Oryctolagus cuniculus: one gene and its partner. The protein of the gene in region 2 interacts with the protein of the main gene of each other region in a pairwise test. Links are inferred from orthologs where the notes say so. Each region holds a gene or a part of one and is shown on either strand. Other genes may lie near its edges.

Evidence for each region.
Region 1: the proteins of TNNI3 (region 2) and TNNC2 interact in binary tests that used the Homo sapiens proteins (3 or more experiments, as listed by UniProt). The two-hybrid records come from large-scale screens. The link is inferred for Oryctolagus cuniculus from reciprocal best matches to the Homo sapiens genes TNNI3 and TNNC2.

Annotation. Positions count from the first base shown.
Region 1 is NC_091442.1:13,567,296-13,571,745, forward strand, and holds TNNC2 (troponin C, skeletal muscle), read left to right. Parts: upstream 1-1,396; 5' UTR 1,397-1,451; coding exon 1,452-1,454; intron 1,455-2,737; coding exon 2,738-2,789; intron 2,790-2,947; coding exon 2,948-3,091; intron 3,092-3,177; coding exon 3,178-3,292; intron 3,293-3,444; coding exon 3,445-3,581; intron 3,582-3,736; coding exon 3,737-3,768; 3' UTR 3,769-3,872; downstream 3,873-4,450. UniProt on the Homo sapiens protein: Troponin is the central regulatory protein of striated muscle contraction. Tn consists of three components: Tn-I which is the inhibitor of actomyosin ATPase, Tn-T which contains the binding site for tropomyosin and Tn-C.
Region 2 is NC_091449.1:3,700,942-3,705,180, forward strand, and holds the start of TNNI3 (troponin I, cardiac muscle), read left to right. Parts: upstream 1-1,386; 5' UTR 1,387-1,484; coding exon 1,485-1,526; intron 1,527-1,904; coding exon 1,905-1,991; intron 1,992-2,473; coding exon 2,474-2,515; intron 2,516-2,775; coding exon 2,776-2,907; intron 2,908-3,198; coding exon 3,199-3,288; intron 3,289-3,650; coding exon 3,651-3,827; intron 3,828-4,239. Other genes in the region: DNAAF3 (dynein axonemal assembly factor 3), read left to right, coding at 1-8. UniProt on the Homo sapiens protein: Troponin I is the inhibitory subunit of troponin, the thin filament regulatory complex which confers calcium-sensitivity to striated muscle actomyosin ATPase activity.

The DNA.
Region 1 (4,450 bases), on a different chromosome or scaffold from region 2:
GCTTCCACGCTAAGGAGTCTGCACTTTGTCTATTTCCCTGAAGAAATGGAGGAACAAATTATGAACAAGTGATTGCTGTTCGACTCTCTGTTCTAAGAGGACCAAGTGCTTCCCGTGTGTCCCGACTGGGATCCCCTGGCTATCACCCCTCGGCCCTCTGCCTGGCTGGGGGAAGCCTTATTTAGCCCGGCCTGGCGCTGCTGAGCTTTCCTTGGGAATGTCTATGTGTAGGGGGAGGGGCGGCCCAGTTGCCACTGTCCATCTGCCCTCCTTGGTGTCCAGCCCCCATTGCCTGGCTCCCACACCGCCCTCGGTTGTCCTAGTGCTTTCTGGTGATTTCTGGTCACATGGCCATATGACCGTGAGCCTTGTCTGCTCCCCAGCACCCAGCCTAGGCTCTGGCCTCTCAGAGTGGGTGGGCTTGCCTTGGACTTCACCTGCCGGGGACCAGACTTCACTGCCCCTTTGCCTTCTGCCTAACCCACTGCCCAAGTCAGCGGATCACAGACACCCTTTTCCTGGGGCGGGGACTCTGAGAGAGCACTCTGCTTTGGATGCCTCCTCCTCCTCCGAGGGCTCCTCTATTCCTCTGGACGGTTCTCCTGGGTGGGCTCCCCCAAGTCGGGATTAACAGGAATCATCAACAGGACTACGGCTTTTATGATTCACAAAAATTAGCCCCAGTGAAATGGGGATAATAATAGCTGCTACCTCATAGGACGCACACCAGGCGAGATCCTGTGGTTGAAATGTCTGGCCCAGTGTGGCCCATCCTGGAGGTTCAACCAGTGGTGCCTAAGTACCGCTTTCCCCTCCTGAGCCCTGCCCCTCACTGTAGTTCGGAGACAGGACATTGTACTTGCCAAGCACCCACCCTGTGGGTCTGGCACAAGCTAGATGACTTAGAGACCTGAGCATCCTTCTGCCATGGTCTGACTGCCATGTCACCAATGAGGATACTGGGCTCAGAGCGGCTGCTTTACCCGCCCAAGGTCACACACCTTGCCGAGGCAGGGACCTGGACCTTGGGACTTCAAGGCTTGTGCTGTTCCCGTTCTACCATGCTGCGTCACTTGTCACTGTTCCGATCCTCCTCCTCCATCTTGGAGCCAGTGTGCTTCCTGGGGTGGGGGGTGGGGCTCTAAGGCGGCGGAGCAGGGTGGGGCCTCCTCCCAAGAATCTGGGACGTCAAGGCTTGCCACCTGCTCAGGGGCTTAAATTTCTCTGCAAGGGCCCTTGGCTAAATTAGGTAATGGGCTAGGACTCTGGGAGGGGTGGGGCTTGCTGACCCCAGGATCTGATTGGGCAGGGTATCCATTCCTGGGGAGCAGGGGGGTGGGAGGACAGGATGCCCCTACAAATCCCGGGGGCTGGAGTGGGCCACTGCGTCTGTGCGTGGTGGAGTTCAGGGGAGGCGGCTCACGGCAGGGGTGGCCCAGTGACCAGCAACCATGGTAAGGACATGAAGGGACTCTGCTCTGCTGGCTGGGGGCACTTCTAGACCTCTTTCAAGCAGATCTGGGTGTTCTGTGGGGTGGGAACTTAGATGCTTGATGGGGGGCGAGAAGGTTGTGGAACACAGGTGTTCAGAGGAAGCCTGGGAAGTCCTTTGACTTCTCTTGGTTGGGGAGGGCTGGATGTCCCAGGGATTGGTCCTGCGGCCACTGTGCTGCCCACTGCGGAGGCTTCCAGCAGTGCTAGGCACAGAGCTCCGGGAGGTCTTATCCCATCTCCTTTATGGTGGTGACAGACCCCCAGGGGCTGCAGTGAGTTCCCCAGGGAGCCAGTGGTGGGGGGTGGGGGATGGGCTGGAAGCCTGGCCAAACCCTCCTGCTGTCAGTGAGAGAAGAAAGCCAGCTCCTAGGAAGATGGGAGGCCCACAGGGCCCCACGCCAACTCCAAGAGCCCTGAGGATGACGGAAGGGGCAGGAGACAGCAGTCGGAGGGACCCCCACCTCCCCGGGAGGGGTTTTGATTTGGGACTGAGGTTCCCCCTCCAGAGATCACTTCAAGGAGTAACTGGACCCCAGAGGCCAGCTGCTGCTGCCCATGCCCTGCTAAAAATAGCCTGCCCTCCTGGCACAGGCGGAGAGGAGGGCAAGAAAGAGGGGGAGAAACAGGAGGCCCAGGGCCAGGGCCCAGAACTGCTTGTCCATCTCACCCCTGCCTCACTGCCAGCCCCAGACTAGAGCCCCCAACCCGGATGGCCTGGCCCGGATGGGTCGTGGACGGCTCATTTTCACGCCACCCTCCGCCTAGCCTGAGGGCCGTGCACTCCAATGCCTGCTTGGCACCTCCACGCATGTGCCCCTGTCAGCCGGGGGTCCCCGTGTCTGGGCTGTGGCCTGACACTTAGCTAGTGCTCAGTACTCTGGGTTGCGTCATTACTGCACCCTGGAGCGGTGCAGGTACCTTGCAAAGCCCCTTTCCCGCCTCCGATTTCATCTCAGCCCCGAAAAGCCACTGAGAGGAGACCAGGGCGTGACCTGCGGCTTCCCCAAAGTCCCCAGGGGGCAGGGTGTGTGTTGGGGGGCTGGGTTGTGCCTGACTTGGCCCTACAAGTATTGCCGAATGAGGACCTCTGACCTAATCTGGGTCTCCGCTCTTGTCAGGTGCCGTGGGGACACACAGGTGGGACAGGTTTCCTGACGGAGGAGGGCGCTACACAGGGCGGGGTCGAGGTGGGACTGGGTGAGCAGGGTGGTCCTCCTGTGCTCTGACCCTGTGTCTCCTGCAGACGGACCAGCAGGCTGAGGCCCGGTCCTACCTCAGCGAGGAGATGATCGCTGGTGAGTGCAGGGTGGGGTGAGGGTGTGTGTGCAAGGGGGCGTGTGGGAGGGTGACATGTGCCAGGGCACATGTGTGGGGTCTGGGCAGCAGTGGGGGTGGGTGTGAGCCTGGCAGGCCAGCCCACCTCACCTCAGCTCTCCCCTCCACCCCCCTGCAGAGTTCAAGGCCGCCTTCGACATGTTTGATGCTGATGGCGGTGGTGACATCAGCGTCAAGGAGTTGGGCACAGTCATGAGGATGCTGGGCCAGACACCCACCAAAGAGGAGCTGGACGCCATCATCGAGGAGGTGGATGAGGATGGTGAGCGGGCAGCCCCGCCCAGGTCAGGGCCGCGGGGGCGCGAGGTGGGCCCGGGGCGGCGCTCAGTGCCTGCCCTGCGCCCGCAGGCAGCGGCACCATCGACTTCGAGGAGTTCTTGGTCATGATGGTGCGCCAGATGAAAGAGGACGCCAAGGGCAAGAGCGAGGAGGAGCTGGCCGAGTGCTTCCGCATCTTCGACAGGTGCGCGGGGTGGGGGAGCGCGGGGCGCGCGGGGCGGGGGGGCTCTCCCACGGGCACAGCACGGGAATGCCTGGGGGGTGCGGGTGCGCGAGGGGCGCGTGCAGCGACGCCCGGGCAGCTGCTGAGCCCTGTCCCGGCCCTCGGCCCCGAAGGAACGCAGACGGCTACATCGACGCCGAGGAGCTGGCTGAGATTTTCAGGGCCTCTGGGGAGCACGTGACGGACGAGGAGATCGAATCCCTGATGAAGGACGGGGACAAGAACAACGACGGCCGCATTGACTTCGACGGTGAGCGCCCGGCAGTCGCGGGCCGGCGTCGGGGGCGTGGCAGGCCTCGGCCCCGCGGGTGGGGCTGGGCGTGGACCGAGCGGAGCCGCCCCCAGCCCCCGCGGGCGGGCGGGTGGGCAGTGCTGGCGCTGAGCCTCGCCCTTGCTTTCCTGCAGAGTTCCTGAAGATGATGGAGGGCGTGCAGTAAGGCTGGGGTCTCAGCCTCGGCCCCGCCGGCTCGTTCCCTGCCCCGCGCAGGGGGCGCGGCCCCTTCTGGCTCCGTGTCTGGAAGGAATAAAAGCAAACGTTGCCAAGCTCATGGCCTGAGTGAGGGGCGGGCCGGGGCTGCGGGGAGCGGGATGCGGCGGGGGCCACGGGGGGCTTCGGGCCGAGGGAGAGGGGGTGGAGCCCCCTGCCTGCCCCATCGCCCATGCGTTCCCGAGCCTCTGAGCGTGGGTGTCAGGCTCGCCGTCGTGGGCCGGCTCCCGGGCCGGGAGCGGGGCGACGGCAGCGTTTTCTGCGAGCCCGCTCGGTCTGGTCCGTTCTTCCAGCGCTTGCGGGGCACCCGGCGCTGGCAGCGGAGAGGGGGCAGCAGCTCCTCCCCGGGGGGCCCCCGCCACGGGCCGACCGCCGACCGCGAGAACCAGCTCCCGGGAACCTGACCGGGCCGCGCCCCCGCTGAACGTCCTGCAGGACCCCTCGGGGCCTCCAGAATCCAATCCAGATGCCTCGCTCTGGGCTCCCTCACTCCTCCCGCCGCCGCTCCTGCGTTTGCCGGCCTCTGGGCCCTTGCACGCTGCTGTTCCCGCTCCCTGCAATGCTCTTCCCCTTATGATCCTGGCAAATTCTTCAACCCACGAGGCCCAACGCGGAGACCATCTCCCCCCTTG
Region 2 (4,239 bases):
CCGCGTAGTCCAGCTCTTGGTTTTACCCTCAGCAGCCTCCCCGCAGGAATTTCGAGTTCCCTGTCTGGGATTCTCATGTGCGCCCCTGGCGTTCTGGAATGTTCTCTGGGATTGCAGGTTCCACCTCGGAGCCCCCAGCTGGCGCCGGCCACCTCCTCGCAGGGGTGGGGCGGGCTCGGGCGGGCCCGCTGGCACCCACATGATGAGAATAAAGAGTCCAGTACTTGGCACGCCGCGTCCTGTGTCCCTGTGTCCTGGGGTCGGGGTCTGGGATGGGGCTGGGTTAGGGGTCAGAGGGAGGAGGGGCTGGGGCCTGGGCTCTGTGAGTCCGAGGGAGGAGGGCTGGGGCCTGGGCTCTGTGAGTCCGAGGGAGGAGGGCTGGGGCCTGGGCTCTTTGTGAGTCTGAGGGAGGAGAGATGGGCCTGGGCTCTGTGAGTCTGAGGGAGGCGGGTTGGGGCCTGGGCTCTGTGAGTCTGAGGGAGGAGGGTCTGGGGCCTGGGCTCTGTGAGTCTGAGGGAGGAGAGATGGGCCTGGGCTCTGTGAGTCTGAGGGAGGCGGGTTGGGGCCTGGGCTCTGTGAGTCTGAGGGAGGAGGGTCTGGGGCCTGGGCTCTGTGAGTCTGAGGGAGGAGGATCTGGGGCCTGGGCTCTGTGAGTCTGAGGGAGGAGGGCTGGGGCCTGGGCTCTGTGAGTCTGAGGGAGGAGGGATGGGCCTGGGCTCTGTGAGTCTGAGGGAGGAGGGCTGGGGCCTGGGCTCTTTGTGAGTCTGAGGGAGGAGGGATGGGACTGGGCTCTCTTGAGTCTGAGGGAGGAGGGCTGGGCCTGGGCTCTGTGAGTCTGAGGGAGGAGGGATGGGCCTGGGCTCTGTGAGTCTGAGGGAGGGGGGCTGGGGCCTGGGCTCTGTGAGTCTGAGGGAGGAGGGTCTGGGGCCTGGGCTCTGTGAGTCTGAGGGAGGAGGGCTGGGGCCTGGGCTCTGTGAGTCTGAGGGAGGAGGGTCTGGGGCCTGGGCTCTGTGAGTCTGAGGGAGGAGGATCTGGGGCCTGGGCTCTGTGAGTCTGAGGGAGGAGGGCTGGGGCCTGGGCTCTGTGAGTCTGAGGGAGGGGGTCTGGGGCCTGGGATCTGTGAGTCTGAGGGAGGAGGGCTGGGGCCTGGGCTCTTTGTGAGTCTGAGGGAGGAGGGCTGGGCCTGGGCTCTGTGAGTCTGAGGGAGGAGGGTTGGGGCCTGGGTGAGATGGAGGTCTGGGGGGCCGAGCAGAGGGGTCCAGTTTCTGTCCCTGGGTGGCGCTGGCCCTGCTGCACACGGCCCGCCTGCCCCTCGTGTGCGCTCACGCGCCCCGTTATCTGCCCCAGCGGAGGAGGGGCGGGGAGGTATATTTAGTCGGCCCTCGCCCTTCAGCTCAGTGTCCTTGGTGAGCCCTGTGCAGCCCGGAGGAGCCCCTACGGCCAGGGGGCTCCAAGGTCACCCGGACGCCCACTCCTGAGTCAGCATGGCAGACGAGTGCGTGAGGCTGGGCCACCGGACCCCCGAGGTCTCGAGGGCGTGGGGGGTGGGGGCGTGTGCCTGGGCTCTCCAGGGGGAACCCGGGACCTGGGACGGAGTCAGGGGTGGGACCCCGGGCTGGGAAGTGTGAGAGTGTGGGGATCCCTCCTGGGACGTGACCTCCGGGCCAGGGAGGCCTCTGGGGTCCCCCAGGAGCTGGAGCGGCACAGGCCCCACCCTGATCCCGCCTCTGTTCTTCCCCTGCAGGAGCCGGGATGCGGTGAGCGCCCCGGGTAGAGGCTGGGTGGAGACCCCGAGGCTGGGCGGGGACCCCTGAGACTCTGAGTGGGGACCCCCAGGCTCTAGGTGGGCGGGTGGGCAGGGGGCAGGGCCAGGGTCTTGGTGATGATGGGCCCCTCCACGCCAGGCAGGGGAAGCGCGCCCCGCGCCAGCCCCGGTGCGACGCCGCTCCTCCGCCAACTACCGCGCCTACGCCACGGAGCCGCACGCCAAGGTGGGCGGGCTGCGGGGCCTCGCGGGACCCAGGAGGGACCACGGAGGGAAGGGCAGAGCCAAGGCCTAGGATGAGGAAGATGTGGTCGTGGGTGGGGCCGAGGAGGTGGTGGGCGGGGCTTGGGAGAAGCCGGGCTCGGATTGGTGGGAACGGCCTGTGGGCGGAGCCAGGGCCTAGGATAAGAGGGAACATGGTCGTGGGCGGGGCCGAGGAGCTGGTGGGCGGGGCTTGGGAGGAGCCGGGCTCGGATTGGTGGGAGCAGCCTGTAGGCGGAGCTCCGTTGCCCATGACGTTGCTTAGGAGGTGGGTAGGCGGTGCCTAGCCAGAGTCTGAGCCCAGATTGGTGGGCGGGGACGAGGGGCGTGGCTTCCTCTGGACGCGGGCTTCAAGTTGGAGGCGGGCGCACATCTGGACGGGCCTGAAGGGATGGTGACGCCCCTCGGAGGGTCTCAGTCCTCCATCCAACCGTGTCACTCCGGCAGAAAAAGTCTAAGATCTCGGCCTCAAGGAAACTGCAGCTGAAGGTGAGGGTCGACCGGGGGTGGGGGTGGGGGGCAGGCTAACCAGGGGGCGGGGCTTGCATAAATTAGGGCTGGGCTTGGGTAGGTGGGGCGGGGCCTTGGACGTGTCCTTGCGGAGAGGGCGGGGCCTAGGGTTAAAGGGGTACCCGCTCATCCTGAGACCCCGGGGTGGGCTGCCGCCCGCCCACCCCTGCAGACCCTGATGCTGCAGAGTGCCAGGGCGCTGTCTTTATCCCGAGACGCCGCCCCGCCCACGTCTGCAGACCCTGATGCTGCAGATCGCCAAGCAGGAGCTGGAGCGGGAGGCGGAGGAGCGACGCGGAGAGAAGGGGCGCGCTCTGAGCACCCGGTGCCAGCCCTTGGAGCTGGCGGGGCTGGGCTTCGCCGAGCTGCAGGTACCCGCGCCCACCTTCCGTTCAGGACCGGGGGTCCAGTGTCGTAGCCTGTCCCCTCAGGGAAGCAGAATCTGGCCTGCAACCACGCACAGCCACAAAGCCCAGGGCCGGCTCCCCGCAGCCCAAGCCCGTCAGTCTCCGGCTCCCATACAACCTCTGCGTGCCTGTCCCTGGAGCCGCAGCTCCAGCGTCGCCCCCTTCAAGGCCACTTCCGGCCCCTCCTCCCTCAGACCAGGATTTCAAGGGTCCTCTGGCCTGCCCCCCACAACACACTCGGAATTCCTCCGCCAGGACTTGTGCAGACAGCTCCACGCCCGCGTGGACAAGGTGGACGAAGAGAGATACGACGTAGAGGCAAAGGTTACCAAGAACATCACCGAGGTGCGGGCGCCTGGGGCTGTGGTCTCAGCCCTCAGTCGCAGACCCCAGGGGACGGGGACAAGTCCATGAGCCTGGCAGGGTGGCAGCGGGATACGGGCAGGGAAGGCCGTTCCAGGCAGGATCGGCATATGCGAAGCTGGGGAGGGATGTGAGTGGGGGGTGGGGCATAAGGAAGTGAGCTCAGGTGGAGCTGAGCAGGTGGTCTTGCGAACGAGGCTGGGTTGCAGGAGAGGGGTTCAGTTTCCCAGGGTTGGAAGCTTGGTCTGGGAGCTGGAGCTGGGGAGAGGCTGGGTGAGGCCGAGATGCTGGAAGGGGGCGCCGCAGGAGGGAGGGGTCCCCACTTCCAGTGTGGCCGCCCCCAGATTGCAGACCTGACCCAGAAGATCTTTGACCTGCGGGGCAAGTTTAAGCGACCCACCCTGCGGAGGGTGCGGATCTCTGCAGACGCCATGATGCAGGCGCTGCTGGGGACCCGGGCTAAGGAGACCTTGGACCTGCGGGCCCACCTGAAGCAGGTGAAGAAGGAGGACACGGAGAAGGTGAGCGCGGGCCAGGGCCAGGGAAGGGGTACCGAGGTGAGGGGCCGCTGCGGCAGCAGCCCCAGGGTCTGGCCCCTGGGCAGATGCTTCCTGGAGCTGAGGGGACAGGCAGCTGGTGAGGGGTCCTCAGCAGGAAGTATGGGAGGGCCGCAGGAAGTGCAAGAGAAAGACAGGAAGTAGGAAGGAGGACAGGAAGTGCATTGGCAAGAGTAGGTAGGGAGGACAGGAAGTGCATGAGGGAGAGAGAAGGATGCTGGGAGGAGACAAAGGAAGGGGGACAGGAAGTGCATGACAGACAGGAAGTGATGAGGAGACAGGAAGTGATGGGGGAGACACACAGGAAGTGCATGAGGGGACACAGACAGGAAGTGCATGAGGGGGACAGGAAGTGCATGACAGACAGGAAGTGATG